Struthio camelus: one gene and its partners. The protein of the gene in region 2 interacts with the protein of the main gene of each other region in a biochemical or structural test. Links are inferred from orthologs where the notes say so. Each region holds a gene or a part of one and is shown on either strand. Other genes may lie near its edges.

What was found. The genes of interacting proteins can lie anywhere in the genome.
Region 1: of the proteins of MAPK1 (region 2) and CACYBP, one has a biochemical effect on the other in vitro, tested with the Homo sapiens proteins (2 studies listed by BioGRID). The link is inferred for Struthio camelus from reciprocal best matches to the Homo sapiens genes MAPK1 and CACYBP.
Region 3: of the proteins of MAPK1 (region 2) and SREBF2, one has a biochemical effect on the other in vitro, tested with the Homo sapiens proteins (2 studies listed by BioGRID). The link is inferred for Struthio camelus from reciprocal best matches to the Homo sapiens genes MAPK1 and SREBF2.
Region 4: the proteins of MAPK1 (region 2) and PTPRR form a complex in vitro, tested with the Homo sapiens proteins (2 studies listed by BioGRID, with this or other methods). The link is inferred for Struthio camelus from reciprocal best matches to the Homo sapiens genes MAPK1 and PTPRR.

What each region holds. Positions count from the first base shown.
Region 1 is NC_090949.1:5,137,822-5,145,204, reverse strand, and holds the start of CACYBP (calcyclin-binding protein), read right to left. Parts: upstream 3,020-7,383; 5' UTR 2,851-3,019; coding exon 2,830-2,850; intron 1,765-2,829; coding exon 1,569-1,764; intron 1,103-1,568; coding exon 1,006-1,102; intron 394-1,005; coding exon 294-393; intron 1-293. UniProt on the Homo sapiens protein: May be involved in calcium-dependent ubiquitination and subsequent proteasomal degradation of target proteins. Probably serves as a molecular bridge in ubiquitin E3 complexes. Participates in the ubiquitin-mediated degradation of beta-catenin (CTNNB1).
Region 2 is NC_090958.1:10,423,952-10,430,774, forward strand, and holds the start of MAPK1 (mitogen-activated protein kinase 1), read left to right. Parts: upstream 1-3,812; 5' UTR 3,813-4,117; coding exon 4,118-4,260; intron 4,261-6,823. UniProt on the Homo sapiens protein: Serine/threonine kinase which acts as an essential component of the MAP kinase signal transduction pathway. MAPK1/ERK2 and MAPK3/ERK1 are the 2 MAPKs which play an important role in the MAPK/ERK cascade.
Region 3 is NC_090942.1:56,592,885-56,600,565, forward strand, and holds the start of SREBF2 (sterol regulatory element-binding protein 2), read right to left. Parts: upstream 3,020-7,681; 5' UTR 2,894-3,019; coding exon 2,812-2,893; intron 1-2,811. Other genes in the region: CCDC134 (coiled-coil domain-containing protein 134), read right to left, coding at 5,312-5,437, 5,715-5,786, 6,074-6,255, 7,140-7,224, 7,533-7,654.
Region 4 is NC_090942.1:41,388,870-41,396,826, forward strand, and holds the start of PTPRR (receptor-type tyrosine-protein phosphatase R), read right to left. Parts: upstream 3,020-7,957; 5' UTR 2,932-3,019; coding exon 2,871-2,931; intron 1-2,870. UniProt on the Homo sapiens protein: Sequesters mitogen-activated protein kinases (MAPKs) such as MAPK1, MAPK3 and MAPK14 in the cytoplasm in an inactive form.

The DNA.
Region 1 (7,383 bases), on a different chromosome or scaffold from region 2:
ATTTTCTGCTTAATTGTCACCAATTTCTGAAATCCTGTTCGAGAGCTATCAACAACGCTTCAGTATCTGGCCGCGATCTTTTGAAACAGAAGCCCAAGGATTCCAGAAAATAATTCTACAATTATTACAACTACAGATTAATGAGAGTCACGTTTACACTGAAGAGACTTTACAGACAGAAGGGAGGGACTGCAGGTTAATGCTCAATCTGTTGAACTGGAGTCAAGCTACGAATACAGAGATATTCAGATTCTTTACAAAGTACCTACAAGAGAAGAGGTATGCTGACTGACCTTTCTAGAGCTGCCTTCCACAGAGATGGGTTTCAGAAGGTTGTTGAAGGTCATGGTGTAGTTCTTCCCATTCAGATTCTTCACTAGCAGATCAAATGACCTAGAGCCAGAAGGTGAGGGGAGGAAAGGCACAAACAAAAATTCCAAGCAGTGTAAGACTATTCAGCCCTGTCATCAAACACAACGTCTGAAAACCATTAAGCAGGCACGTTTCTTGGGAAAGCAAGCCAACAGGCTTTCAAATCTTCTATTGGATTTAATACTGAGCACTTAAAAGGACTTATGCAGAGTTCACAACAAATCAAGATCTTTAGCATTCTAACATCTACCTGACTGAGCTCCTATGACCCTGGAAAGGAGGGAGGTTCATTTAATCCACATTTCAGTTCTACCACCATCAAAAAATAGGTCTAACGTAACATATGCTATCAAGCATGATGAGGCATAAGGAGCATTTGTAAAATTAAAATACTCTGACACCCACTAAGGAGAGCTATATGTAAGTGTATGTACTCAAGTACTATTAAAAGTTAATACTTTAATAAGCAATTAATTAATAAGCTGATACTTTTAATAAAATTAAAGTTAAAAAAATAAAAAAAACACGACACAGCAACCCAGAGCAAAATTCAACACAACACATTCCTGCATTTCAGATAATGCTCTACACCCACGCTCTCCTTCTTGGCATGGGGCAAAAATATGAACTCACCTCTCTGTGAAATTCACCTGCACATTCTCAGCTGGGAGCTTCTGGACTCCACTTAGAGAGATGTAAATCTTAATAAACTTATCTGACTGATCCCAACCTGCAAGTGAGAAAGATAAAGTTCTAGCTTTCCTCAGAAAAGTCAGAAGTAGATGCCTGGTTTTCCTGCCGTTTCCTTGACCCACTTTTTCTTATACTTTCCACGTGACAAGTACCTTAAGCAATTCCTTCTCCTTTTACCTACATGGCGAGCAGAGAAGCCAAAGCTCAGTCTTTCGTTCTTGCTAAGCACTAGGCAATAGAAAAATACTAGTAGGTGCATCGGGGATCATTAACGTGTTCCTCCAGTAAAGAAAAGCTATCAGACAAACAGAACTGTGGCTGGGACAGAGCAGTAAGCCTGTAAGTAAGTAGCTTTTTGGGGGGGGTCTGTGGTGTGGTATAAACATCTGAGAATGTTTCTCTGTAACGCTAAATGGCAACTAAGACTCACACTTAATACCACCCTGCATTCTATTCAAAACAGAAGCCTGAGCTCTAACGTTTGTGTAGAAGAGCAATCCTACCATAGTTGTTTATTTTCACTGTATACCCTCCCAGCGATGACTTTTCTTCTTCTCCTGCATCTGCTTTCAGCTTTGGTGGAGGCTGATTCTTGAGTTCTATCTCTAGCTTGTGTTTTTCAGTCATCAGGACATCACGAAGTCGCTTCCTCGTGGTTTTCGTAAGCAATTCTTTAACCTCTTCCAAATCTTTCTGTAACTGATTTAAGAATAAAAGATCGTGCACGCATATTAGATACCCCTCTTTCTACTCAGGGTTCACACCACTGGGCTCTTTCACTCCTATTAGTTTCAGACACAGATTCAGCAAACCAAGTTACACTTCCCTTTATACCCTCCTCAGCGTGAAACCATCTGTCCCTTACTCCACGGCCACTAAGGTTTTAACTGCTCAATTTCAATCTTCAAGCTTCGTTCAGTTAAAAAAAAGGGGAAATTAATAAAAGTTTAACGTTTGGAACACCAACAGGTTTTGGATTTTGCTAAAAACGTACTGCCCGATCTCAGACCTATAGCACTGAGCAAATATTCAGACGGAAGACTCAGAAAAAGGTCAAATGGGGGTAAACGTCTCTTATGCCCCAGATTACCAGCCACTGAGCCCTTGCAGCCACATAAATCAAAAGCAACATCTCACTGTACCTCATTAACCTACTTTCCCCCTCAAAATAAGATTCTCTATTCTAAGATCTAACAAATGTAGAACAATAGCATCAAAAGCACTGAAACTCTCAATGAGGGGAGACGACAAGAGGTTGCGCTTCCTTTTTAAGTGACCGATTTATTGTAGAATTGTACGATTCAAGGAAGGGGCAGACATACTCAACGTGATAAACATCTGATCCTCAGGGATTTCTGAAACACTAGCTTTGCTCAGGAGAGAGGAATATTACAATAAATAACCAGACCGGCACAGAAACGTGTTTTTTTTTTTTCTCCCTCCATGTTTGAAACTTCTCGCGTTTCTTTAACTTGAGAGCGCTCGAATTAATTGCACGTTGGCGCAATCGCAGCTCAACCGCAAAAGAGAGGCGCCCGGAACCCACCTGGCAGACACCTAAAGAAAAACAAGAGGTTCCGCGCATCCCCCCCCCCCACCCCCAAGGCTTCGGGAAAGAGGGGCAGCGCCAAAAAATTAAATAATTAAATAAATAAATAAGTAAATAAGGAGCCGCACAGTTGTGCTGAGCCCCGGCCCGGGCCCGGGGCCGCCCAACGCCGCTCGCGGCCCCTCAGCGCGACGCCCGCTCCCGCCGCCCCTCACCTCCTCGTGCGCGGCGGCCATGGCGCGGCGCGTGCCCGGCGCTGCTGCCCCCGCGGCGGCGGCGGCGGCTCCGGCTCCCACCGGCCCCTCTGGAACCTTCCCGGCCTCGCGCCGCCGCGTCCCCTCCCCCCGCCCCGCGCTCACGCGCCGGAAACGGCGTCACGCGCCCTCCCCCCCCCCCCACCGAGGCGGCCTCGCCAACCCCGCCCCTTCCGCCTGCGGAAGGAGAGGGGCGCGCCGCTGTCGGCCCCTGTCACTGGCGGACGGGCGTTGCTATGGTGACACGCCGACGCGTCAGGCGGCGGGGCGGGGCTGCGCGTGCGCCCCGTTGCGTGGGGGGAGGGGCGGGGCTGGCGCGGCCGTTACGCGGCCGTTAGCGACCGGCTGAGGGCGCGCCGCCCTGACGGCAGGAAGCGGGCGGTCAGGGCTCCGCCTGCCGCTGCTGCTGCCGCCTGGCGCTGCCGCCTGGCGCTGCGGCGCTGGGAGAGCCACCCTGGCGGTGGCTGGGGGCCGGGGAGGCAGCGATCTGAGAGGCGGGGCGGTCTCTGAGGAGGCTGGAGGCCGCGGCCGGTGGGCAGAGTTCGTGGCGGGCTGAACCGGCGGGCCGCGCTTCTCCGTGCGCCTTCGGCGGGCTGCCCGTACGCGTTGTGTGCCCGGCTGGGCAGGGCCTCGCCGAGTCTCTGTCTTGACATCAGGATTCCTCCCTTCCGTCTGTGTTTAGTGTAATTGGGAAACAGGACCGTAAACAGCCTGCCTAAATATGCTTTTTCTGAATATTGCAATCTTTTTTGTAACCCTGCGCTAGGTAAGGAAGTCTTTCATGTACGGAAAACAGCCACATGTGCTGGTGTGCCAGAATCTCTTTAAGTGCCAGTAAAGCTTTCAAGCTCCTGCCTGAAGTGCTTGCTGGGCTCTAATTGGCGTTGGTGAGCTTTTGTATTAAACACTGTTCTTTGGTTTGTCTTTTTTTTTGAGCAACGGTGCGCTCTTTTATAGCTGCGCTATGTTAGCTGTGGGCACATAAAAGGATCAGGCCAGTTAAACCGAGCCCCAGAGTGCTGTTTGCATAAAACATAAAAGCGTCAACAGGCAGGTCACCTCAATGCCAGCATGATGCCAACAGCAGCAGCTCGTCTCTCTCTCTTTGCCTTACCCGACTCAGGCCAATGTTTGGCAATGAGGTACTCTGAAAAGAAAGTAACCTAGAACGTATGCAGCCTTTGTAATAAGTGAACCTCATCAATTTACAGTGCACCAAAGGTTGGAAAGCTTGCGTGTTGTAAATGGCAGAGGTTGTCTTGTGCGTGTGTTTAGGAGTAAGGAGCTGACATAAACTGAGTCTGGAACTGCAATGCTTTGAATAGCTTTTTTTTTTTTTTTTTAGATGGTTGAGTTTTTTGTTAATAGTTAAGTCTTTCTTCTGGAAATACTATGCAGCTTTATGGTAAGGGTTTTCAAAAAGGAAATTACCAACTATGAATCCTTTTGTGATTTTTAGACTCATCTATAGCAAGCTACTTACATTCATGCTGAGTTTACAGAGTCAAAGATTATCAGTGATACAGAACCCCCTACCGCCAGGAAGTAGTAGTTGGAAGCCAGAAATTTTGTGGTGAGGGTTAGTGATTATATTCTCATTAAGAGGCATCAACAAGTTAGCAACCACTTCAATTGCAATATGGAGTCAATCATTGTGCCTTTAGAAAAGAGGTGAAATGACCTTCCTGAGTATTACAACCTCAGTTACAGTTGGTCCAGGGAGAAAGTATTTCATGGTGCCTCTCACCACCTTTAGTAAATCAATTAATAATTAAAAAAAAAAAAAAGGCTTTTGTATTCCCAGGTCCCAGTCGGGCATTAAAATTTCCCAGAAAAAAAGAAGCTGATGGAAATCTTTCTATAAGTAGGTAAGTGGAAGAGTCAACTTTTGCCTCCAAATGTCCTCATAAAAATGGGAACACAAAGGAGTATACAATCACTCAGTGCTGAAAAAGTAGATTTCTCTGTAAGAGAGGTTGCCGGTTTTAACATTTAATTTACTGAGCTGAGAAATGCCAGCTCACTCTCCAATTTATGGGCTTAGGGGTTTTTTTTCCTCTCCGCTTCTAAGGTAAACATAAATAATCTGTGAATGTTTTTTTTTTTTTTTTTTTGCAGGGGATTGGTGGGGGTAGGTAAGAGGATATTAGATCAGAGATTCATAGAAAATCTGAAGTTGAGGACTTGCAAGGCTGTATGTCACAATGCAATGTTAATAGCATATACTGAAATGTTGCTCATACCCCTCTGGTCCAGTGCTTCAAGAGCTGCAGCTGAGAAATTGTCAGGAAAAATCTCCACGACTAACTCTGTAGTTTTGTTTAATTTTCACAGAACTGAGCGTCATCCTGTAGATCTTTAGCAATAGCATTTGAAGTTGGGCTAGTGGATTTTTATCTGGAAATTACAGTATGGGCAATTGGAATTTACTTCCGTGGCATGGTTATTTAATTTGTTGAGAGCAGTTGCATATTCAGGAATTGTTTCCTTATGATCTTTCTGCTGAGCAGCCACTAAGACAAGAAGCAGCTTTTCTGTGATGTTTCCTGAACCACTAATCTCCGAGTTTTTCCCCTCTCAGTTGTGGTCTTGCATTAGGACATTCTCATAGCTTTAGAATTTAAATTGATATTGCTTTATAATTTAATTTCTGGATAGAGGAGAAAACATGACATGTTTCACCAATACATAAATGCATGTGCAAGTGAGCCTGTAATTCAGTCGCTTGCTAGGCTCTTTGAAAACCAGTGCTTATTTTGTATCCTTAAGTCACGAGCCTTTCAGTGCCCATGGCACTCCCATTGAGTGGCAGCTTACAAGCGGAAGAGTGTATCTCTTGTCTCATGTAAAAACACATTCCACACTGCTCTGCATGAAGCTGCAGTAGCATCCAGATGCTGCGTTCCCCCTTGTCGGAACGAAGAGAAAGCCTGACAAACTTAGTTTTCTGTGCACGTTTTTACAAGTTGCCAAGTGACAGGTCTTCCTCTCAGGAGAGAAGAATCGGAACAGTTCCTGAGCCAGGAAGGGGAAAAAGGACCTTGAGGCGGATTGGTGGGAATAGTCAAATTCAACCGAAAGACCCGGATCCAGTCTCTCTGGATGACAAAACACTGTGCAGTATATTGTTTTTCAATGGTCATTGGCTCTAGGGACAGAAAAGAGAGCATCTGGAAGGGCTACGAAAGGATGTTTGGCCTCCTTAGCTAGCCTGCAGTAGCCGTTCCTTTTGTCTGTAGGAACTGATGGAAACTGGTGGCAAACAGTCTTTGGACGGTGATGTGGAAGTTAATCAAAAGCAATATATTTTCTGGTAAACTAATTGGTTAAAAATATTTATCTTCAGCTTTTCTACCCTTATGGCTTCATATCTTCTTCTCAAGTGCTGTGTGTTTTTCCAGTTATGCAGGCAGCAGTGGCTGTTCGTCTAAATAGGAAAAAAAAAATCCCTGTAACAACTCTTATCTATTGTTCACATGGAAAACTGGTTTTATAAAGTATCTGAATTCTTCTAATTGCTAACTTTAATGAATACTGAACTTTTATTCTGTCCTGTTCTTGCCTAGCCATGCTTCTGTTATAAATATGTTTTCTGTTTCTTGCTGGTACCTTCTGCTCCCTGATTCTTCTCTTCCTCTAGACGTGTCATTGCTCGCTTGCCTGTTTCTCTTGTGTACCTCCACTGAAGCATCGGGTCCTTAAGAACAGCTCGTATTTCCCGATCTTTTAGATCAGCAGCCTTCAGGGGAAGCATATTGATCAGTATGTTCTCTGTGCTGTAAACTTCAGACTAACATTTGGAAAAGAGGACCCACGTGACCTATTAGCTCTCCCACATAATGTCTGTCAGATTCTTGTGGAACAGGTTGCTTCTTGTGAACAAGGACATTATACCAACAGTTTGAAATTAGCTTTGTAACACTCGCACGTTTTGGATGACTAGGCTGCTAAATCGCTGTGTTTTAGTACAGTAGTGCTGCTTGAAAATAACCAACTTGAGTAAACTATGTCTGAAGACCTGGTACAGTAGTTATTTATTACTACAGACACAGTCAAACTGTTTCTTAAGCAAGCGGCCTATGAAAATAAGCACCTTATACCCATTTTGTTTGCATTTCCATTTATTTTACAAGGCATCGTTCACACAATGATAACAAGGTACTGATCCAAACAATTCTGTAACAATTAAAAAAGTAAACATTTTTTGTGACCATGTACATTAAATTGCACTTTTAATAACAAGCATTACACTTATATGTCCATATTATACTTTATATAATACATAGATTTGTTGCACAAGAACTGGCAGTATTGGATTGTTCTCAGTTAAAGGTCTCACATCACCATGATTCTTTTTTTTTTTTTCCCCCCTAACCCTTTAGCAAAGTGTGTTTTTATGAACTAGGGACAGGCCCAGATAACAAACTTTGCCTGAATAACCCCAAACCCAGAAAAATATCATTGTGGATCACAGCTTTGAAGCTGGTCTTTATTTTCAGCATTGTGAAGTGAATC
Region 2 (6,823 bases):
AGTCAGAATGCTGGATGGGGGGAAAGGGAGGGGGAAACACTGGGAAAAACCCTGTAAGTTAGCTTTGTCATCAACTGACCAGTGATTTGGGCCTTGTTTTGTTAACTACCTGTGAAAGACTGAATAATGCCCTAATCGCCTTTTTTCCCTCCCGTACCTCCAACAGGAGGATGTTTTTAACTTCCCAACAGCATAAGATTACAGAGAGATTCTCATTTGTACTGAGGTCACTTTACACTGTCAAAGCAGTGGCCAACATTTAAATGAAAATCAGTCACAAGGGATTTTAGCTGTATGTCACCAGTTAAATCAAGCCCAGGTCGGTAGTGACTACGAGTTATTAGTATCTGATGCTCTTTATCAGTCTTAGGATGGTTCCCTGTGGATCAGAGCTCTCATATCTAAGTAATTTAAGTTTTTGTCACGTTCATCACCATGGTTCCTGAGTGACACAGAAGTTAAAATATGTCTTTATACAACATCTTCCATGTCTTACGTCTCTCTCTCTGTCTTCACCCCCACACAGAGGCTTGAGGTCTTTTTAAATAATGCTGGGAAAATCGTTTTACACACATAATATTTGCATTTTCTTTGGAGGATGAGAGGGTTCAGGGTCATTCCGAGGCTCTCGGAAAGTGAATGCCATAACCCGACAGCAGGGACCACGAAAGCGCTGTCTGGACTGCCCCTACACAAACAGCGTGACGATTGCAGTGATGATGGTTTTAGGAGAGGTAGCTTTAGTTCTAAATCAGCACAAAAAAAATGGAAAACCCTCCCACCCTCAGGAAAGAGTGACGCTCTAGGGCACCTACGTATCATTCCTGTTCTTTGCCTATATCTGATCACGCTGTTTCCAGGACTCATAGGGTCTTTCATAGCATGACATTTACTTTTCAAGAGAACTATTTACAGACCACAAAGTTAACAGTTAAAGTAGATATTTGTAACAGTACAGAGAATCTCTAGACCCTAACTGTACAATGAACTCATCCAAGTGACTCCTGAACTTGATATCATGATGGAGATAGATAGTCCAAACTGTCGCACATGTAAACTGACCTATTTTATAGCTTGGCTGGTTCCTCATACAGCTTTCAAACTGAAGATACTGCACTTCTGTTTGGACAGCTCTTCTTAGCAGTGGTTTTATTTCTGCTTGAGGCATGGAGACATTTTTTTCACCTGCTTTTTGTTATCTGCAATCATTTTACAGTAAGTATCACCTCTCCCCACAACATAACCCTTTATTCTGATCATGGAACTAATCATGTGCTTAAAACATATTTACATTCCTTGCAGAACCAAGGCTGTAATGTCACCTTGTCACCGTGTGAGGGAAAGACCCAGCATAAAGTGTAGGTAATAGCTGTGTATTTATAAAGGCTGAAAAGCAGTTGCTACCATTTCTATCTGGTCTGTCTAACTCAACAACTGTATTGCTACCTGGAACTACATACAACTAGGTTCTGTCACAAGAGGAACTGTTGGCAAAGCATGCCATAGCCTTTTGACCGCTTATTTGGGTTTAATTGGATTAGACATATATTTGAACACAGCACTCAAAGCAGTTGACAGTCTTTCCACAATTTCCTGGTCTGCTGGTTGGTTTCCTTTTTGATCTGACACATCCTGGTGAAGGTGGAAAATAATCTAGATATACACCAGTTTTTAATTAAATTTTGCTATGACAGGTTGTGTTTAAGCTAGCTTCTCTATAATCATTTGTTTTGCCTTTGCTGATGACATTTATTTATGTATGTAATCAGAACTGTAAGCATAATTTCATTTTTAGAGTTAAGAGAAGAACCTTTAAAATCATATTTTACTTACACAGTTTCAGAAAATTTAAACATTTATTCACCTCTACTGCTGTCTGCAATTTCTCAGAAAAATAATGTGGGTTTCCAAAGTGAAAAAAAAAGCACATTATGGAAAGGAAAGAGTATTATATACAAGGAAAAATAAAGCCATAACAAGTAATTTTAACTATCCCACATCGATACACAAAAACCAAGCCATATGATTTAATGTGTGATAAATAGAAGATGGATTTTTTTTTTTTCATTAGATTACGTTGGTCATCCAGGATAGCTTTCACTCCACCAAACATGCTGGGGCTGCATCTGAAACCCTGAAGCCTGCTGGGTAGGTCCATGCCAAAGGAGAGTCCTTAGGCTGCAGCTAGGCTAAGCCACTGCTCAGTTTAAACTGATAACTCTTTCCTTTTGACTTCTGCCGAAGCTTTGGGGGATGCTAATAAGTCGTAATCAGGAGGTTGTACAATATTTGTAACCAGCTACAGAAGACTGCAATTGTTTGGTCATGGTGATGGAAGCTGGTTTGCAGCAAGGAGTGACAGAAGGTGGGATGCAAGAAAAGAGCCTCTGGCAGTCCGACTTGCAGCTGGACTCGGGCAGTGGGGAGAAGCAAGACGGGGATCGCACACCCCGAAGGCAGAGAGAGAGACATGAAGCAGCACGGTCGGCAGTAGAAATGTCAACAGAAGTCTAGAGAGAGCAGCGGCAGAGCTGCGAGAAACGTTGAGAGAAGAAAGAGGGCAGAGCACAACCAGTGAGACCCTGACAGGAACTTGATCGGCACGTAACACCTTCTGGTTAAAGAAGAACACAAAATTAACAGCGACTTTTAAGAAAAGCATGAGTCAGGGGTAATGAGCTGATTTCACATTGGGGTCTTTCGACAGGGTAGGATGGGCATGAACATGGACACACTAGTGTGATGAGATATATGGAGATCTGTATGTGATTAATGCATTTTCAAAGGAACAGGAGAGACTATCTAAAACCATGCCAATAATAGTGAAAAATTAAGTAGCAAGTACAATTTTTTGCCTTAAAAAAACATGGAATGTAAGTATAGTGTTTACAGAATTGCAGAAAAAAATTCAGAAGCAAAGACTCTTGATGTTTTTGGTGAACCTAAAGAACATGGCAGGAAGAGGGAGCCTTGCAGGAAAACAGGAAAAATGGATATTGTTGCAAGCGACAATCATGGCATGATACAAACTATAACAAATTAAATCTTCACCTCCTGCTCAAAACCTCGAGTTTATTTACATTCATAGGGGAAACAAGTAATGGGAAAATATAATTGCATGTAAAAACCATATGCTAATTAGAGGTTGCAAAACTAAGCCCTGAAAAGTCAGAAAGCGTTAGAAATAAACTTGCCCTCCCTCCAGTAACCCAGCTCTCTGGCAGGATGTTAACCTTGCCCTGCGTGACATCAGGGGCTTGCGGCAGAGCCAAGGACAGAGCAGGGCCTGTTGGGCCTCAGATCAGCACCTTAAACGCAAGAGAAACCCCCTCTCCGCCCGCAGCTGACTGCTGCGCGGGGGGCAGCGTTGTCACAGGGAGCTGAAGAAAACAGAGCCCGGCTGCAAGGGCCGCAGGGAGCGCAGGCCTCGGCCCCAGGCTTCCGCCCCGCGTTTCCTCCGGGCCGTCCGTCAGCCAGCAGCGAGGCCGCCGGCCCGGCCCGGCGCTGACGGCCCTCGGCTCGCCCCGACAGCCCGGGCGCCGCCGAGCCTGGGCCTCAACGGGGCGCCCCGCGGACCCGGCCCGGCCCAGCCGGCCCCGTCCGAGGGCGGCCGGGTGCCATTTCCCGGGCCGCCGCCGCCACCTGACGCCTCTAATGGCGCCGGGCGGCCGCGCGGCTCCCGCAGAGCCGGCACGCCCACCACGTGACCCCGCCCCTCCCCCCGCGGCTGCGGCGGCGGCCGTTACCGCAGTGCCTGGGCCCCGCCCCTCCTCCTGCCCCGCCCCCCCGGGGCGCCTCCTGGCCCCGCCCCACCCCCGCGCGCGCGCGAGCTCCCCCTCCCTCCTCCCCTCCCCTCCCCTCCCCCCGGGCGCTGTGGGTGCGCGCGCGCGCCCGGCAGCGTCTCCTCACAGCGGCGGCGGCGCTGACGGGGGCTCGGAGCCGGCGGCCGGTGCTCCGGAGCGCGGCGGAGCCGGCGACGCCTCTTTTACTTCCCTCCACCCCCCCCTCCCCGCATCTCTTTCCTCGCCCCCCTCTTTCCTCCTCACCCCGCCTTCCTTCCCCCCGCCCCCCCCCCCCCCCCCCGCACGCAGTCACCGCGGTTCCCGGCACGGACAACATGGCGGCGGTGTCGGGGGCCGGGGCTGCGGGTGGCGCTGCCAACGCCGGGGGCCCGGAGATGGTGCGGGGCCAAGTGTTCGACGTGGGGCCGCGCTACACCAACCTCTCCTACATCGGCGAGGGGGCCTACGGCATGGTGTGGTGAGTGCCGGCCGCCGCGCCCCGCCGGGCCAGCGCCCTTGCCCTGCACAGCTCCCTCCCTGCCTGCCTCCCTCCCTGCCTGCCTGCCTTCCTCCCTCCGCCCCGCCGCCCTGCCCGGCCGCAGCCTCCCCGGGGGCTCGGCCGCGGGCTGCGTCCCGCCCTTGCGGGGGGCAGCGGCCCGTGCCTGGCCCTCGGGGGAGGGGAAGCTAGGCCTCCAGCATCCTTGCCTCTTTCCTCATCCCCGCTTTCCCCTTCGCGCTGCCGAGGTTGTCCCTCCGGCATCGCCCGTCCCCTCCCCGGCCGCCAACCCTCGGCTGCCGTCGCCTCTTCCCGCCCCCCCCCCCGCCAAAATTCCTGCACCGTGGGGTGCAGCTACGCGTCTCGTTTCCTTTCTGTCGTGTGCTCGTTATTTTTAATTTTTTTTTCCTCCTGCTTCTCAAGTTGCTTTTTCCCTTTCTTTTTTCTCTCCTTACAGTTATATTATAGACACTGAAAAAGGGGAGAAGGTCATAACATCATGCTAACAGCTCTGTTTTTTCCTTTGTGCCTGTGCTGCATGTTCCTAGGGTCATGGTTGATAAACAGAAAAAGTGAATCTGTGTATACGAATTGCTGTCCCTATCTGCCTTTTCTTTGGATGTGTTTGTTGACTGTTGCACAGCCTGCCAGATTATTGTCTAAATTAACATATATGAGAGATGAAAGTTCTCTTCAGCTCTTCCAGTTCTTGATTATTTTATATCATGAAGACTGGTGGTAAGCCTCACTAGAAAGCAGTAGTACACATTTGCTTTGGTTAGTATCACTCTTAAAAACCTAACCAGTGAACTATAAAATGCCTAAAATGTAAGCTACCTGGATTTAGAGTGTGAGATGGGTTTTCTTTTAGCAGCCTGCATGTGGTGGGCTGAGTCAAGATGATGCTCTGAGGTGGTATACCTAGTGACTGGGTTATAAAACTGACGTACTTTGTGACCTTAGTTACAATTCTTATTCTGTTTTTTACCATTAGCAAAACAGGATAAAGTGACTTAATTTGAATCCCTTGTTTCAAAAATAAAACTATTTTTTGTTATTTTATCAACTTTTTTCCAATGCTGCTTCTGTTTCATGTTCAGATTTGACCAGAAGTACTAAATGAAGTTTACAGGTTATGACTTGGTGAAAGCTATATTAGCGATAATGTCTCTCTCTGATGTTTAATCTTTTATAGTATAAACTAGTACACTTATCGGTGAAGGCTCTTCACAACATCCAAGTGTATGTTACAGATTTTACAGCTGTGATGGATTGTGCTGGCTTATTAAAATGAAGTCATCTTGTATTTCAGAATGGAAGCTTTCATTTAGGCCTGAATTTAGCTGGGAGATATGCCTGTATTTAAGTTTTGAATTGTGGCCTTCACTTTTTTAGCTGGGGGAAGAACCTTCAAAATGAAAATCAAAAATCCTGTTTATGGTGTAAAAATACCCCTGTTATCATTTTAGTGTTATAGATCACAGCAATATATCCACTCTAAAACTGACATTAATGTAGCTTATGGTACAAACCATATTTTACTGTGGTGCAAATCATCTGTGCTGGGACAACTAAGCCAGTGCACATAATCTCATTATTGACTGCGCTGGTTTACGCATGCAGTCTGATTTGGAATAGTACTTCCAAGATGTGTGTATAGTCCCGCTCATATCAATGGGATGTTAAAAATGGTAACACAGATGTTGTGTTAAAGCTAAAATGTTTCACCAATGATCAAAGATTACAAGAAGCAGTATGTTGGCAGTTGATGCCCTTTTTCGGCATCACTAGGTTGGTGAGCAGATATAGGGAAAATATGGCCCCTTCCCCCCCATCCAATGGTGTGTCATTAAGTTCTATTACTTAATATTTTATTAAGTTCTATCTCCAAGACTGGCTATGTAATGTTATTTTTTATTTAATAGCTCATTCTAGTGTTGTGGATTTTCTTATATTTTTTCGCTTTTTTTTTCTTTCTTTTTTTTTTTTTCTCTAGTATGATTGCTGTACACAGTTATTAACAAAAATAGAGACATACACATTTGGCTCCTGAGTTTTTTCCCTCTAAAGTTATTCATGTGAAATACTAGATTTGATATGTTGAGCTGTTAATTAATCATTGCTCTTCTGCCTTGGGTGTGAAATGACAGGGAACAAAGTCTCAGTTTGTATTGTATACTTGGTAAGTATTGGATTGCACATGTTCTAGCTAAATGCCATAGCAAATGTAATGTTTTGTAGTGCACAGCAGATGAGCTGCTACGATTAAATAAGATTACTTATTAATCAATGGAGGTATAGGTTATGTAGATTAATACTAAATGTTTCATGTCTTGCTTTGATTGTTAATGCAGTGAGGATCTGCAGAAGCCTCTCCCTTGTGAGGTGATTAGAGGGCAAGCTATGAGAGTAAAGATGGAGATATTCCCTGCAGCTGCAAAATCCATTTAAATCTGTACACTTTAATGAAGGAAAACAAAGCAAGCTCTGATGTTTTTGGTTTTTTAGACCCCCAGCTAATGCATGCAACTTCAGAGGATCTAGT
Region 3 (7,681 bases), on a different chromosome or scaffold from region 2:
GCAAGAACCCAATCTCTCTCTCTCTCTCTCTCTGAGAACTCCTTTGCCAACACAAAGAACAGGGCAAACATAAATAAACTATTAGGATGTTTGTGTGCTTTTGGAGGATAGCCCTCAGGCATCAATTTGGTGATAAACCCATCATTTTCAGATTAGCTGCACCCTCTGTGCTGAAGGTCTCAGTCACTACAGAGGAACAAGATATTGCTGCAGAAAACAATACCGAGCAAACACAGAGCTAGAAAATATCCACAAGATATCGTCAAAGTCAGTCCACCTATGACTTCTACTTCTTCCAGATCAGTGTCCAAGTACCTTATAGAAAAGTACAGTGCTTAAGCTACAGCTTCAGTACAGCTACTACGTATTGCACGCACCACCCTCCTAGAAGGTTGCTAGGTGTTTGTGAGCATAGGCTGCTTTTCAGAGAAACTCAAAGAGTAGCAGATTAAGCTACAGACAGAGTTGAAAAGATACTTTGACATGAATGTAAAAAACCAAAATCTAAAAAACAAAAACGTACTTTTTAACCATGACCAAATTAAACTCCCTAGGGTAAGGAAATGCAAAGATTACATCACGGATCATCTGGTTCTCAAAGGTCTTTTTCCACTAGTGCGGTTTTTGTAGCCAACACAGCAGTCAGACTGCAGTACTACGAAGTTCGGGAAGAAAGTTACATTTGAACACCATGCAGAGTTAGGTTATTGTTCAGTTATTGGAACTTCTGACCAAAAGCTGTGTTCACCCACTTGAAGCCCTGGACTGATTTCACACCCGATCTGGGAACCTGACTTTACAAAGAATTAACTTCCTAGAGCAGTCAAGGCCATTCACTAATCAGGGTCATTCACCCTTTAATTTCTTCCAAGTCCAGACTTAAAATAAAAAGCTGTACAGCAAGCTGTGAGGATCATTCAGACCCAAAATTGAGAGGACTGCTGAGATTTAGGCAGCAAACAAGAAGTAAAAAAAAACAAAAATACCCCCCACACACAAACCAAAACCCTTGCAGAATTTTAAATCCTGAGATGAGTTCACATCAAAATAAAAAAACCAGGACTCTATTATATCATCTCTCCAGGAAAATCCACTCCATTCTGAGTAAGGTAAAAGACCTTCTCCTTTCTCACCGAGTTCCACATTCCTGAACCACATTTCACTGAGAAAACACCAACAGCTCAGAAGACCTGGCTCAAAGCTCATTAGAACTTGCCTCAGCTTCCATGCAGACCTATAGAAGACATTATTTTGCAGACAACAATAAACATCATCTTTAATTCGCATCATGAACTTTATCAGTGATAATCAAGCCCCTTGCATTTTCCTAAGACAGATGCTTGTTTTACATATTACGGAGAAAAGAAACTGCCTCCAATGGCTACCAATTGCCCTGCAAATCAATTGCAATCAAACTTAAAAGCACCAGTTCAGTTCTGTCTTCCACCTATTAAACAAGGACGCTTTAGATACACACACACACCCCCCTCAAAGTAGACCTTTGTTTAGGATTACTGTTCAGCAAAGTCAAAAAAGATATTCAACAAAGCAAGTCAGAGCAGTGAATTTTCTTATTTCTGCTGAGGACCTGTTTTAATTTTCAGTCTAGATCAGATAATTAGTCCAACTATAGTTTTTACAGGTTTCCAGGAGCTGTTCAAGAAAAAAAAAAATAATAATAATATAATTCATTCTAGCTTTGTACTTCAGCGGAAAAAACATTTCTTCTCATTTATCTGACGTCTGGCGTAAACGTTAAAGCAATTTATGATGACATAAGGAACAAAAGGAAAATTTAACAGTTACATCCGTTTCATTTTTAGAATAAAGACGTGGAACAACCTCCTCTGAAAGGAGCTAGCGGCAGCACAATTCCATCCATTCTTTATAACAGACTTCAAACCAACCAGTGGAAAAAAAAAAAAAACCCAAAACGGACAACACAGCACCGTTTGCTGGATAGACTCGGGATGGAAAAAGGAAATGGAAAGGCAATTAACTTTTTGTTCCCCCCCCCCCTCAAATCCTTGATCATTTTAACAGCCAAAAGCTCCGAGTTCGAAGAAGCGCGCAGCAGCTGTCCAACTCCGACAGGTGTGCGTGCCCTCCAGCTGGGCCGCCAGCCTTGCGCCTTCCACCCCTGCTACCCTCTAACATCGCTTTTTTTTTTTTTATTTATTTTTTATTTTTACGACCGCGGTTATTGCCGTAACATCCCAGTACCACCCCGAGTGACTCAGTCTTGGTAAAAAGTCCTTGCCCAACAGGACTGGCCATCAGCTCGCCGGGCCCCGACGGACCACACCACCGAGGGCGATCCCCCCGCGGCGGGTTTCCAGCCGCAGCCAGGGAGCAGCGGCGGCGATGCCACCCGCGGGACGCGCTCCCCACGCGGGGAGAGCCGGAGCCACCCAGCAGCGGCCACTACGGCGCCACCCGCGTCGCTCTGCGCTGCGGGGGTGGGTGGGGGGGGGCGGACACCTCGCGGGCAGCCCCACTCGGGATCCCCCTCCCACGGCGGCTCCGGGGCAGCGCTCCCCCGCACCGAGCGCCTCCCCCTACGCCCCACGCGCCGTCACACGAGGACCGAGCAAGGCCGCACCCCCTCCCCACGCAGCTCTGCCTCCCGTGGCAGGCCCACGGACACCTCTTCCTCCCCCCGCGCGCCCTCGCACCCCCCGCTCGGGGCTGCCCCACGCGCCTCTCCACCCGCCGGGCGCGGCTCGCCGCCTCGCCACGGGGGCCAGGGAAGCTCCCCCCCCCTCCCCCTCGCTCCCCAACGGTCACAACGGCCCCCGCCGTCCCTCTCACCGTCGATGTCACCCAGCGTGAGCTCGTCGCCCAGCTCAGTCAGCGCCTCCATGTTCTCCGCGCCCAGCTCGCCGCTCTCCATCGCGCACGGGCCCGCCCCGCCCCGGCAGGCCGCACCAGGGCATGAACCGCCGCCGCCGCCGCTCAAGCCCGGGTTCCCGGCGAGCGCCGCCGACCCCGCGCCATCTTGGGCCGCCCACGGCCCGCCGGCCCCGCCCCCCACCTGCCCGCAGCTCCAGCCGCCGCTACGGCGGCGGCGGCAGCGGCGGCGGCGTCGCGCGCGCGCGCGCCTCCCGCGGTTTGTTGTCAATGAGACCAGGTCGCCCCTGACCAATCGGCGGGCGCGGCGGCGCGTGGTGTGATGGCGCGTCACCGATCAGCAGCTGCGATTAGCATAGCAGACCCCGCCCCCGCCTCCCCCTCCCCCTGCATTAGAATATTCATGAGGTGGGGGCGTGGCCGGCGGCGCGGGCGGGCTGCGCAGCGCCGAGCACCGCGCCGGTGGGTGGCGGGGGCGCTGCCCGCCGCAGGGCCCAGCCCGCACGGCGGTGCGAGGGAGGGAGGGAAGGAGGGAGGCTTCTTCCTGCCTCGGGGCTCCCTCCTCCTCACCCCCGAGGAGCGGCCATCGCGTGCCTTGAAGCCGCGTCGCACAACTAGGGTGGCCCCAGCCCCCTCCCAAGCGCCTCGCAGGGCCGGGTGGCAGGTGGCGACCAGCGCTGGATAAATCCGCCCCCGCGCGCCGCTGGACACGGGACAGTCCAGCAGGACGGGACCTCAGAGGTCTCTGCTCCAAGCAAGGCCCACTTTGGAGTTACACCAGGTTGCAAAAATTGCAGCAGGGAGGAATAACCAACTGGGTGGTTGCTGAAGGACCCCCGGCCCCGCACACCCCCGCATCCTTGCCATGTCCAGCAGCCTTTCCTCTCCCCCTGCCCGTTCACCGGGAGCCTCGACCAAGAGGGAGCTGCGGGCATGCGGCACCCTAGGGGGAAAATACATGATTTTGCAAGCTGAGGTGTTGCAGCAGCGCAGAGCCGCTCACGGCGCCTGTCGCTCCGCGGGCTCTCCGCGCCGTGACCCAACCGCTGGAGCCCGGAGAGAAAGCGATGGAGGAAATTAGCAGCTAACCTGCTCAGATGCTTTTGAAAAATCGTATTTAGGTGCAACTGCAGGCACCTAAATATCCTTGAACATCTCTCCCTGGGAGCCTAAAGGAGATTGCGAGATGGTGAGGAAGAGCGGCTCGGACCTGTTACAAAGCTGGCATGAAATCAGATGAAGGGGGAGAAACATTAGATTGAAAGCAGCAGTAAGTTTTGGAGGAAGGGGTTTTATTAAAAGGTGCTCCGATTTCCCAGGTAACCGGCTGGGAGAGTTGGCCTCATCCTTTTAGTATCTCCTCACTTAGGCACCTTCTAAAATAGCCAAAGCTACGGCCCGGAGACGCCCTTGGGCACGCGCCCCTTTTTGGGAGCGCTCCCACTGGGAACGCAATCAACACGCAGGCTTCTTTAAAAAAAAAAAAAAATCAGATTTATTCAAGAAAAACAAAACACTTCCCATCTCAACGCAAGTTCCCAACGCCCCCGTCGAACGTACCCGTCTCCGTATTTAAAAATAAAGGACGTTTCCCACCACTGGCCCCGTCAAGTCGCCCGAAGGCAGCTTGGGCGGCGTGGGAAAGCGCCGGTCCCGGGCAGGCGGGGGCCGACCGGCCGGCTCCAGCTCCTCCGGCACCGCCGACGCGCACCGAGGGAGCCGGGGGGAAGAGCTCCCTCCTCCCAGAGCCGCCCCCGGCCCCTCGCAGCAGGGGCGGCCCTGACCCCCCCCCCCCCAGCAGCGGGGTAGGTAGCGTTTGGATGGTGGGATTTTTTTTTTTTTTTTTTTGGAAAAGACTTCTGCAATCCAAAATACGGAGGGGGAGGGAAAAAAAAATCGGGTGGAAGGGGAAATTCGGCAACCCTGGCCGCTTCCACAACCAAGCCCCGTTGCGGTGCCAGGGAAAGGAGGGCGGAGAGGCCACGTCCGTCCCCGCGAGCGCCGCTTAATTCCCAATTTCCCTCCCGCCGTCCCCATCAGGAAACCCCTCCATTAGCCGCTCAGGGAAAACGGGGGCCGCGGCCCGGCCGGGAAAAAGGCTCTTTTGGCCTTTTTCAGCCGCCAGGGACGACAGGCGGGCGGCTGAGCCAAAGGGCGGCCAGGAGACGGGGAGATCCGGTGCATCGGCCGGGCAGAGATCGGGTATAACCGGGCTGGGGCGCAGGGAGCGGAAACATCACCGATTTAAAAAAAAAAAAAAAAAAAGAGGAAAAAAACCTCACAGAAGCAGCGTTGCCCACGAGGCCCCTTCGCTCCCGCCGCGAGCTCCCCGGCCCCCCCATCCCCTCGCCGCGGCAGGCCCGTTTCACGCCCCCGCGCCCCGGCTGGAGGGGAAGTTGGCGGAGGGGAAGGGGACGGGACGCCGCCAGGGGGTCCCCGCCGCCGGGGCCGGGGCCCGGCCCTACAAGTCGGACTGCGAGCGCGAGATGCGCGGGCCCTTGCGGATCTCCTTCCGCTTCTCCTCCTTCTTCCGCCGCTTCTCCTCCTCTCGCAGTGCCTTCTGCAAGGTGTCCGCGCTGGGGAAGAACTGAGCCGGGGAGGGGGGGGGAAATCACGGCGTCAGCCAGGAGGAGCAAGCCCCGAGGCCCCGCGGCCCCCGCCGCAGGAGCGGAGAGAGGAGGGCACGGTTTTGTACCCGCCAGCAGCTGGCACCAGCCTGGCCAGAGACGGGACTCCCTCCTCCGCTTCCCTTCCCAGCCACGCGCTCGGCCGTTCCCCTTCCCTCTCCCCCCCCAAACCTCCTCTTTCCCCACGGCACGAGGTGGTGGAGGAGGAGGAGAACCGCGGCCGCTTTGCCGTCTTACCTCGGAGTGGTCGGTTTTGAAGGGGTTGCGGTAATCGGGAGATTTCTCGCTGATTCCCAGCTCCTGAGCCATCTGCAGAGCAAAGCAAGGGCCGCGCGGCGGATGGCGGCGTCGCTCGTCGCCCGCCGCGTCCTTGCCTCCCCCCCCCCCCACCCCGAGCCTTCCCTCCTTTCTGGGCCCCTTCGCTCTCCCTCCAGCCCAAAGATGTCCCTCAGGCAGGGGAGACGCTCTCCAGCCCGGCAGGCACGGGAAGAGGCGAACGCTCCCTCTGCTTGCTCTCCCTTTACCCTCGCGCCCGTGCCCACGCTTTGCCCCCCCGGCAGCGGAGACGGGATACGACGGGCGAGACTCGGCCTTACCAGCCCCAGGACCTGGGAGTGGGGTCCCTGCTCAAACACCCCCGTCAGGTTGCAGAAACCAATCCCCCAGCGGATGAGGTTGTTCCAGTTGGAGTTGCGGTCGAAGTAGTGGTGCACGATCTTGGGGAAGCGCAGGACGACGTCCCCGAAGAAGGCCGTGTTCTCCACCACGTGGGAGTACGCTGCGGAGGAGAGCCACCCGGCCCTGTCGGCAGGCCGGCCCCACGCACTGCCCCGCTCCCGCCAGCCACGGTCCCCTCCCCAACCGCCAGGGCCCCCCACGCGTGGCCGGAGCACAGGGACGGGAGGAGAGGCTGCTTCCAAAGGACGCGGTGAGACTTCCCCTTCCACGTCCCGCCGCCTGCGGTTACGGACGCGCCGTGCGCCCAGCCCAGCCTCCTCGGGGGCTGACGTCCCATGATGGCTCCTGGCCCTCAGCAGCGGGGACGGGGCAGTTCCAGCTGAGGCTGGCTGGGGGAAGTCGAGGTTGGCTGCTGAGGTTGGATGTGGAGCAGATCCCGACAGCAGAGATCAGGGACGGGAGAGCTCACACAGGCTACAAAGCACCACATCAGCTCGGTGCCACTTGGGAAACGAGAGCAGGAAAGTCTAGAGACGGCTGCAACAGGCAGTGCCTTTGCCCTGTCCTAGCTGGGCAGCATGTTCTCCAGGGGCTTTGCAGGATCTACGTTTAAATCTCTGTTGTGATGAGGCCTCCTCTCCCCATATCCTTTGGGAGACTGCTGAACAAAGGCCTCCCCAGTGAAACTCAAATTCATTCAGAGTCATTTGCCCCTACCTCATCCTGGGAGCATCTAAATCCTAGTGGCAAAGATGGAGAGGCAGGGGGTAAATGGGCAGGATCCCCAGTATGAACTGGTCAGCGAGACCGTAATGGCTCCCCGATAGAAAACACCACAGGGACCAGTGGAAGATCCCCGTAGGGATCTCTGTAGGCAGCCCCAGGGATTTCATAGCTACCCTGGCACTGATCCCACACGAAAAGACAGAGATGCAACATAGCAATGGAAAAAGGAACGGGGGCAGAAGACCAGAGATGACCTACCATCTTTTAGCTTCTCGTCCTGAGGAAAAGGCCCATCTGGCGGCACATCTGCAGCTATTAGCACGGCCCGGGAGTCCTCCAGCACCTGAAAGGCTCTTGGTTACTGCCCATCCCGCCTGCCCTCCCCCCTTGCCCATCCTTGCCCCAACCTGGCCCTGCTCCCCTCTGTCCAAGGGCAGCCTTCAGGGGACCCCCTACTGCTGCAGCAGCCTACTCTGCCCCTCAGCTCGTCTCTTCAGCCCCACAGAGGCTCCCTGCTGCCGTTGCTTCTCCTGCTCGCCCTCCCCAGCGTCCCGGCCTGGGTGCAGCACCCAGCTCAGGGGCGAAGGGAGGGAGTGGGCAGCTCGCGCCAGAGCATGCCGAGCCCGGAGGAGAGCCTGCCCCGCGCCTCACCTTGAAGAGTCCCTTGAGCATGATGTCGATGATTTTGTACTGCTGGTTCACGTCGTTGAGCTCGATGAGGTTCTTCAGCGCGTTCATCTGGTCCTTGCGCTTCACCTCAAACAGCTTCTTATCTGCACCACCGTCAAGGGCACCGCAGA
Region 4 (7,957 bases), on a different chromosome or scaffold from region 2:
CCAGTCCTCTTGGGAGACGTTAATTTTTCATTGCAAGAACATGTATTAGATCATACCTACTAAAAAAAGAGTATAACCTGCACTGTCTGGCACTGTCTCATGCAATGCATATCAGAGGTCAAAGGCTCACACTGACCTGTAATCAGTCACTACATATTTAGGTCTTCATCCAACAGCAAGCTCTATATAGGTTGATTACTTCACCTGCTGCGCTCAGCAGACAGGCCTAAATCTGTTTTCAGCTATGCACATACAAGTGCCTTTGATTTCAGCAAGAGTTATACAGGTGTTCCAACAAGACAACTGGATTTAATTTTCTGTTATACAGCCATAACACTTTGTTGGAATCAAAGTCTAAATCAAAAAGGAACAGTTTTAGTCTGTTAAGCGCATGAAAATTCCCAATCTCTGTTTTTGACCAGAATATTTCCTTTTCTTTGCAAACATATGTTTGGCTACTGTAACACAACTGTAATATCGTTGTCTTTTCATAGCAAACCAGATTTCCAATATGATGAGCATTATCTTTCCATTACGAAGCATTACTTAAACACATTAGAGAATGAAGTCTTTTTGCTGCGGTATTAGTTCAAGTTAACACAGACCTACTTTTTTTTTTTTTTTTTAAATTTATCATCATCAATTGATATTAAGCGAGACGTTGTTAGTATCTGCTGATGGTTTCTTTAGCGTTCCCTTACATGAAAATACCTTCCCTTCTATGTGTTTTCAGCCTCAAAACAAAAATACTTATGAAAAGCCAAGTAGTTTCCACCACAGTGAAAAACAAATTGACAGCTGGGATGCAATTTGTGACCTACCACTAGTGGCAAATGGAATGCATTTTATGATTCCACAGGAGTCAGAGTTGCAAAATTACCATCAATAATTTATAAGTTTAGGCTATACATAAAAGATTCCCACAGTGATACTCTTTGAAAGACCAGATTCTCTACCTGCATCAGATGAAACAGAGAAATCCTAAAAGTTTAAGTTTGCTATGTTATTTCATCGTCACATCTTCAGTCACTCCCAACAATGGCAAGTTGTACGCAGCCCTGCCAAGAAGCAGCACAACTCTTGCTATAAGGGGAGCTATGCCCAATGTATAAAGGCTAAACTCTGCTCCTGTCCACCCTTCCTGTTGCTTTCTCTGAAATAATTATTTTCAAAGATCGCATGGGAAACAAAGTAACAGCATACAAACTTCTGCGCGATAATTTTCTCTATTTTTACCCATGATTACAGACATTTTCATAATAAAGGCTAAATTTTGTTTGTAAGCATTTCCATTCACTTAATAATAATAAAATGGTAGGGAAAGCAAATGGTTTCTTGGGTGGATATAAAACCAGTTCCATTAGTAGGATGGAAAGATGAAGCACATCTACACTGATGTGACGTCCACTATTAATAGAGGATAAATTGAGATCAGAAGGCATGTAAGCTGTATACTAATTTTGTACAGATGATTATTTTAATGCATGTTGTAAAGGAACAATCTAAAAGCAGCTAAAGGCTTTTATTAAAATGCATCACCAAACGCTCCTTATCTTTTAGTCGATAATCTCTCACACACACGAATATAAGGCATAATAGCATGAGTCTCCTACCTATGAACATGAAGCAAAGAGCTCCCGAGATCATAGCAAGCGTAGCCTAATTTTCCAGAGCAATAAAATACCACTAACCAAGGCAAACCATTTCTTTTGACTATAGCAAAAAAAGAATGTCAGGCTCCCTTACCTGAGGTATCCATATAAATAACTATTTTCATAACCTGATATCCACAGATTATTTATTCATGGGTATATACATACATGCATTACTTACAAGTCATAAGAGATATTAAGTATAAATATTACTTTTAATGATTCTGCGTAAGACAACACAAACAAGCAGCATCTAAAAAATCTCTCCTATTGTGGGAGATTTGTGGGAGCAAAAGAGTGATTATCTTGGGGTGCATTTTCTTTTTTTAATTAAACTTCAGCGAAGTTAGAGGCAGGGTGCAACAGCCATTTTCTACTTCAGAAATAGGTGTGCTGCAGTAAGCCATAAAACAAAGAAATACTCCAGTTTTTCTAGTGAACTTCATTTAATTACATTGCCAACCGAGATTTTTGTTTCAATTTCAGACTACAAATGTTTAGCTCTGCAGGGGAAATGGAAAGGGAGACTCTCAAAAATAAGCAGCTTCTCACGATTTAAGAGAAGCCCGAGGTTTTAAGCCAGAAATATAAGCGACGGTTCTGAGAACGAAACTGGCAGCTGAACTTCAGGGAGGCACTAAGGCGCTCGCCGCCTTTCTGAATGAGGCACACGTTTTGCTCGCAAAGCAGAGACAGGATTTATTATCACCGCTCCGCGGCTGCAGCCAAGACGCCTACTGTCGCAGCTGAAATTTTCCCTACCTAAAAAAACCTGCTTCCAAGATCAAATATAAGTAGCATCACGCCCCTCCACTCCAAAAAAAAAAGAGGGGGGGGAGGAGGAAAAAAAAATTTACAGAGAAGGACAAACGCGTACGATTTTCACTTCCACCGCGCACCCCCCCCCGGCTAAACCCACGCGACTCGCGCGGGTACCGGCCGCCGCCGCCGGGCCCCGGCTGCTGCCCGCGGTGCTGAAAAGCTCCGGCGCCCCGCGCGCTCCCTCCGCGGGCCGCCGGGCGCCGGCAGCCGTTAAACCCCCGCGCGCGCGCTCCGGGCAACGGTCGCCCGCCGCGACCCCGCCGCGCCGCCCCCGCCCCGCCACAACAGGTGCGCCGCAGCCCGCCGGGCGCCAGCGGCTCCTCGCCGGCGCGTGCTCCGGCCGCTGGGCAGGCGGGCTGCCGCGCCGCGCCGGGGCCACAGCCGCCCCCTGCTCACCTGCGGCGCGGAGGTGGAGCAGGAGGCACAGCGCGCGGAGGCACGCGGCCGCCCGCCGCATGGTGCGAGCCGAGCCGAGCCGAGCCGAGCCGAGCCGAGCCGAGCAGCGCCACACCAGCGCGTCCCGCTCCCCCCTCTGCCAGTGAGCATGCCTGGGAACGGGCTGCGCATGCGCGGCGCCGGGCGGGTGGGCGGGAGGCGGGGAGGGCGGTTGAGCGGGCGGTTGGCCTCACGTGCCTCCTCGGCGCGGCGTGAGGCGAGGGGCAGCCCGGGCAGGGGGAAGCGGCCGTGGCTGGAGTGGGGTCAACATCCCCCCCCCTCTTCCGCCTCGGGAGTTGGGGTTGCGGAAGGAGCGTGGAGAGCTGAAGTATGCGGAGCTGAAAGGCGAAGGGAGAGACCTCCAGTTCCTCCCAGCTCCCCACAGGGGCAGGAGGCGAAGGCGAGGGGAGCGGCCTCTCCCTCAGCGCCCGAGCGAAGCAGCCGGCAGGGCTCTCTGCTGCAGCGGAGCGGTGGTGTTGCCTCTCCCAGATATTAAAGCCTTTATGAGGTTTGTCTCAAAAGATTTGACGTGTCTGGGAGGACTGTGATAGTGCCTATTTTTATGTATGCAGTGAAAGCGAGCTTCCCTTTCAATGCGTTGTGGAACCCCACCTAAAAGAAGCAGAAAGCCTGTGTGATGGAAATCACGGCTGATAGGAAAATAAAATGACATTTACTTGAGATCTGCTGAACTCTAGGCAGCGATTCAAACCGGATTGATGCCGCACGTATCCACTTACAAATTTGATTATGTGGACATCAGTGACCCAAATAAAGATTCCAAACTTAAAGCAGCCCTGCAGCCAGATTATTTTCTAGAGTTGTGTTTAATTGATCAAAAGAGTTACCAGAGGCTAACTTTGAAAGGAAGTAGCAGATGTGTCACCCTGCAAGTGAGCTGTCTCCAGACTAAAGCTGGATATGACAAACCATATATGCCTACAATCGGTTGTGCAACTAAAGTGATCTTAAGTAGAAAAGAATAAAAGAGAGTAACAGAGCTTGCTCTCTTTTAAGTGGCTTTAAATGACCCTTGCCGCAGAATTTTTCTTCATTATAATGGTGCGAAGAGCTGCGTAGGGCCTAATTTCTAGTTGCAATTGCATGTGTGGTTGAGCATATGCAAATAATCTTCCTTTGCCAGCCCCCACACTGCTGTTCACTATGTACAGGCAGCTAGGTCATTGGCTTGACAACAACATAAGCCACAAAAAGCTTGGGTTGGAAAACAGTGCTCAGTCTTGAGCTCTGCCCCAAATTGAGAATTCGGCTGATCAAGGGTATTGTTGAGGAAGAAGTGGTACGTGAGCCCTATCACCTCAGTAGTATCTTTTGCAGGTATCGTGCCTTGGATGCCCTGCTAGGTGACAGGATCTCTTCTGCTTTGTGTACTGAGATGGTAATTTACTATGGATGTATACAAATTGCAGCACATCCTGATCCAGTTTAATCCTGCTAGATCTGATTAGTAGAAATGAAAACTTAAAAGTGAAGTCTATCCATTCTGTACATCTTATTCATGTCCCCACAACTCCAGTTCCTATGTGCCTGTGCCTCAGAGGTATACATAAGTAATGACCTATACTTACTTCTCTGAGTAAGCTGTGCAGCACAAATTCCAATTTAGCCAACTCCTAGGCTAACTCCTAGGAAAAGACAAAAGAAAAATTTACTAACAGTCCTCTAATGTTTTGTTGTTGGTCAGAAATCATCACCCTTCTGTTTTCTAGGCAAGGACATAGGGTCAAATACAGGATAACTCTGCTGAAGCTAATGGAATTAATTTGTCCCCATGTGGTTACAGATGAGGCAGCTGTGGTTTTGTATGATTGAGCACTGTAGCAATATCTACTCACCTCACTTGTGGTGCCCAAAGGCACAATGACCAGATAACTTACCACCACTCTGTCAGAAAATTGTTTTCCACTGGGGAAATGCTTTTAGATGGGGTTTTGAGCCCATATCCAAGATAAGATTTAGGCTCCTAACTCTAGCTGAATTCAATGAGAAGCTAAGACTCTAAATCATTTGTTGGGTTTTGAATCAGTGCATCATCTTTAAAAGGTAGGGGGTAAAGAAAGGTCTCATCAATGCAAAATGAAAGCATAACTGTGGAGTGGGAAGCTGCTACACAGAAAGTGAGCTAACACATGTTGCATCAGCTTGAATTCTCTAGCTTCAGTGATTTTTTTTCTAAATATAGAACATGGTATTAGCAGAGTGGAGATCACTAGTGTGTGGCTTACTCTCTAAGTCTAGACTGACTCTTCAGCTGAGTGCTGGCTTTACCAATATTTATCAGTGAGGTTAATGATATGGGAGTTATTTTCTTTTAACATTTTTTTCCACAGTATCTTCTTCTCTTCTGATGTGGCAGGTTGAGTATGCTGCTGAGAAGTCTCATTTGATAGCAGTTACAATTAAGAGAGAACGTTCCAAATGTTAGAGCTCTTAGTGGTGTTCTCACCTGCCATGCTAGAAAGACTGTCTTCCATGGCTGGGAATCATTTTCCACTAGACTTCAGTTGACAAAATGCTTTAAGACAAAGCGAAACAATGAAAGGCAAATGAAAAGGGGTCTTCATTTCAATAGTGCAGTGATATACGTATTAGCCAACAGAAAAAAATATCTAGAGAAGAGAGAAACACACTTTTGCCTAAGATAAATGAAACAGATGCACACATCTGTTTGCCATTGATGAGTTTCAGCAGAAAACTGAAGCACTGGGTAGGAATAAGAGAAAGCGGACTGGAGGAGGAGGGCATATAGAGAAGGTGATATGCATAAATCGAAGGACTAGGTCTAGAGCTATACAATATTGCTAGGATGGGAAGAGGGGTTCTTTTAATACAATGCAAACAGGTAACAGCTGCAGGAGAAGTGTCGAGGAGTACCTTGTGTCCTAAGAGATTGCCTGTGGGCAAAATCATTATTGTACCAATGTAAATGCATCATATTCCTTAATGAGTATTGTCATTATAGGGTTACAGCACTTGTAAAGTGGTCTGAGACTCTCCAGTGTATTTTTGACAGAATCTCTAATATAGGCATGGAAAAGAATGACGCTGACTTAGCCGAAACACAATACAAACTTTGACAGCAAAAGAGAGAGAGGATGCAAGGATATTTTATTCTCTCAGCAGACTCATTTATGGCTATGTATGTTTATCTGAAACTTCAAGACTGTTACCAGATTTTGGCAAGACCATGTTATAATTTTTATGTCAGTTTTTTTCTAATGATGTTAACTGTAGCTTGACGGGCAACAATTTGCTGCTGTTGGTGAGGCAGGTTGGAAAGAATCAAATGAGTTAAGGTGCCTGACCAAAAGCTGCCTGCTAAAGATATAAAGCAGTTGACTGTTCATCCCCAGAATGAACAGCTAAGGTATTGACTGAGACCTGTAAGGGGCTGAGGCAGCCCAAACTGGTAATGAGGACAGCACGAGTACTAACAAATGCATTTAGCTATACTGATTACTCCACTTCTTTCAGTCAGTTTAATTCATACATGTAATTGCTAGCGAGGTTACATTATTTTCTTTTGCTGTGAAGTTATATACCTCTGGGTCACCTGCTTTCCACTACAGTGCCCGAAAGCTGTGGTATTCTACAGTATCTCCAGGAGTTCTCAAAGCTGCAGATAGGGAGGGGAAACAAAGCTGGCAATTCAAATGCTGGTTATGGTCTTCTCTGTGCCTTCCACATGAAGGAGGAGAGGAATAAATGTGACATGGAGCTGCTTATTCCTACCAGGGTGATAGTAGTTTGTTTCAGCAACTTGTATTTACTGGTGAAATGTTTTTAAATAGCTTTGAAAAAATAAGGATGGCTGTTTATCTTCTTGCCCGTGGCTAAGGACAGGTCTTTTAGCACTGTTTTCATTTAAAGCCTCATTGTGCAAATGTGCCAGAAATGTTAGCTTTGCTTTCTGCTGTGGTGCATTAGCTGTTCCATTGTTTTGCCTGAAAGTGGGACATGTAGGCACAGGTCAAAGTGTTCAAAATACAGGTGTGGGATTCACCTCACCTAACTTGAGGCATTTACAATGTAGGTAACTTCCTCTGAGGTAGTCATGCTGACCTCCCTTTGTAGTCAAAAGAGAGAAACAGGCACTTCTAGAGCAAACTTCATCTGACCTGTTTTAGACGTCTACCTCGGGATGAATCATGCCCCAAAATGCCTATTTTTCTCCATTGACTGTAAAGGAAGATTAAGATCATTAGCTCACATATATTTGCTCAAGTAGCTCTTACACTCTCTTGCAAAGTTGGTCACCCTGAGAGTGTTTCTGTATTACTGATAAAAGAAATCTGTGTTTTAAAATTGATGTTAAACAACCCTTCACAAGGACAGAATCAACAAATCTGTTAGCAGACTGTCCAAGCATTTTTGGCTCTCTCTCCAGGTCCATTCATAGCAGCTAGCTGGAACAGCAAGTGGCAGCTCCAATTGATGTAGCCTAGATTGCAATTCACCAGCTAGATTATGAATATTTTTGTTGCATTTCCTCTAATTTCCATTTCTTCTCTCTTCTATGCTCTCCATACCAGAGCGCAGTAAAGATATCTTCCTGCAGTGTTCTACCAGGGACATCAGGATTCATAAACTCAGGTCCTGCAGTTACAATACTGACAGAAAAGATATAAATTAAAATTTCAGACTATCCTTTTACTCAAGTCTAGGAATACATCTCTTGAACTATACCTATTGTATATTCATTTATTTTATGTCAGAGTAATTTAATATGATAAACCTTTCTCCTAAAATAGAAGTGAAAAAACGTTTGTGTGTGTGCGCATTTATATACATTTAAATATGGAATGAGGGTTACTTGTTACTAATAACTACACAATACATCTCTAAATGAAGCAGTTATGCTTGAGATTTAAAGTAAATTGCACAGAACAATTTAACTCTAGACTCAAGCCTCCCAGCATAAGAGTAGCTTTGGTTTTGCATGGAAATAATATTAATCATGAGCTTCTGTCTCAAGTGAGTCCAACTTCAGGCAACTCTGAAATAGCCTAAAGATGCTAGCATTAGGG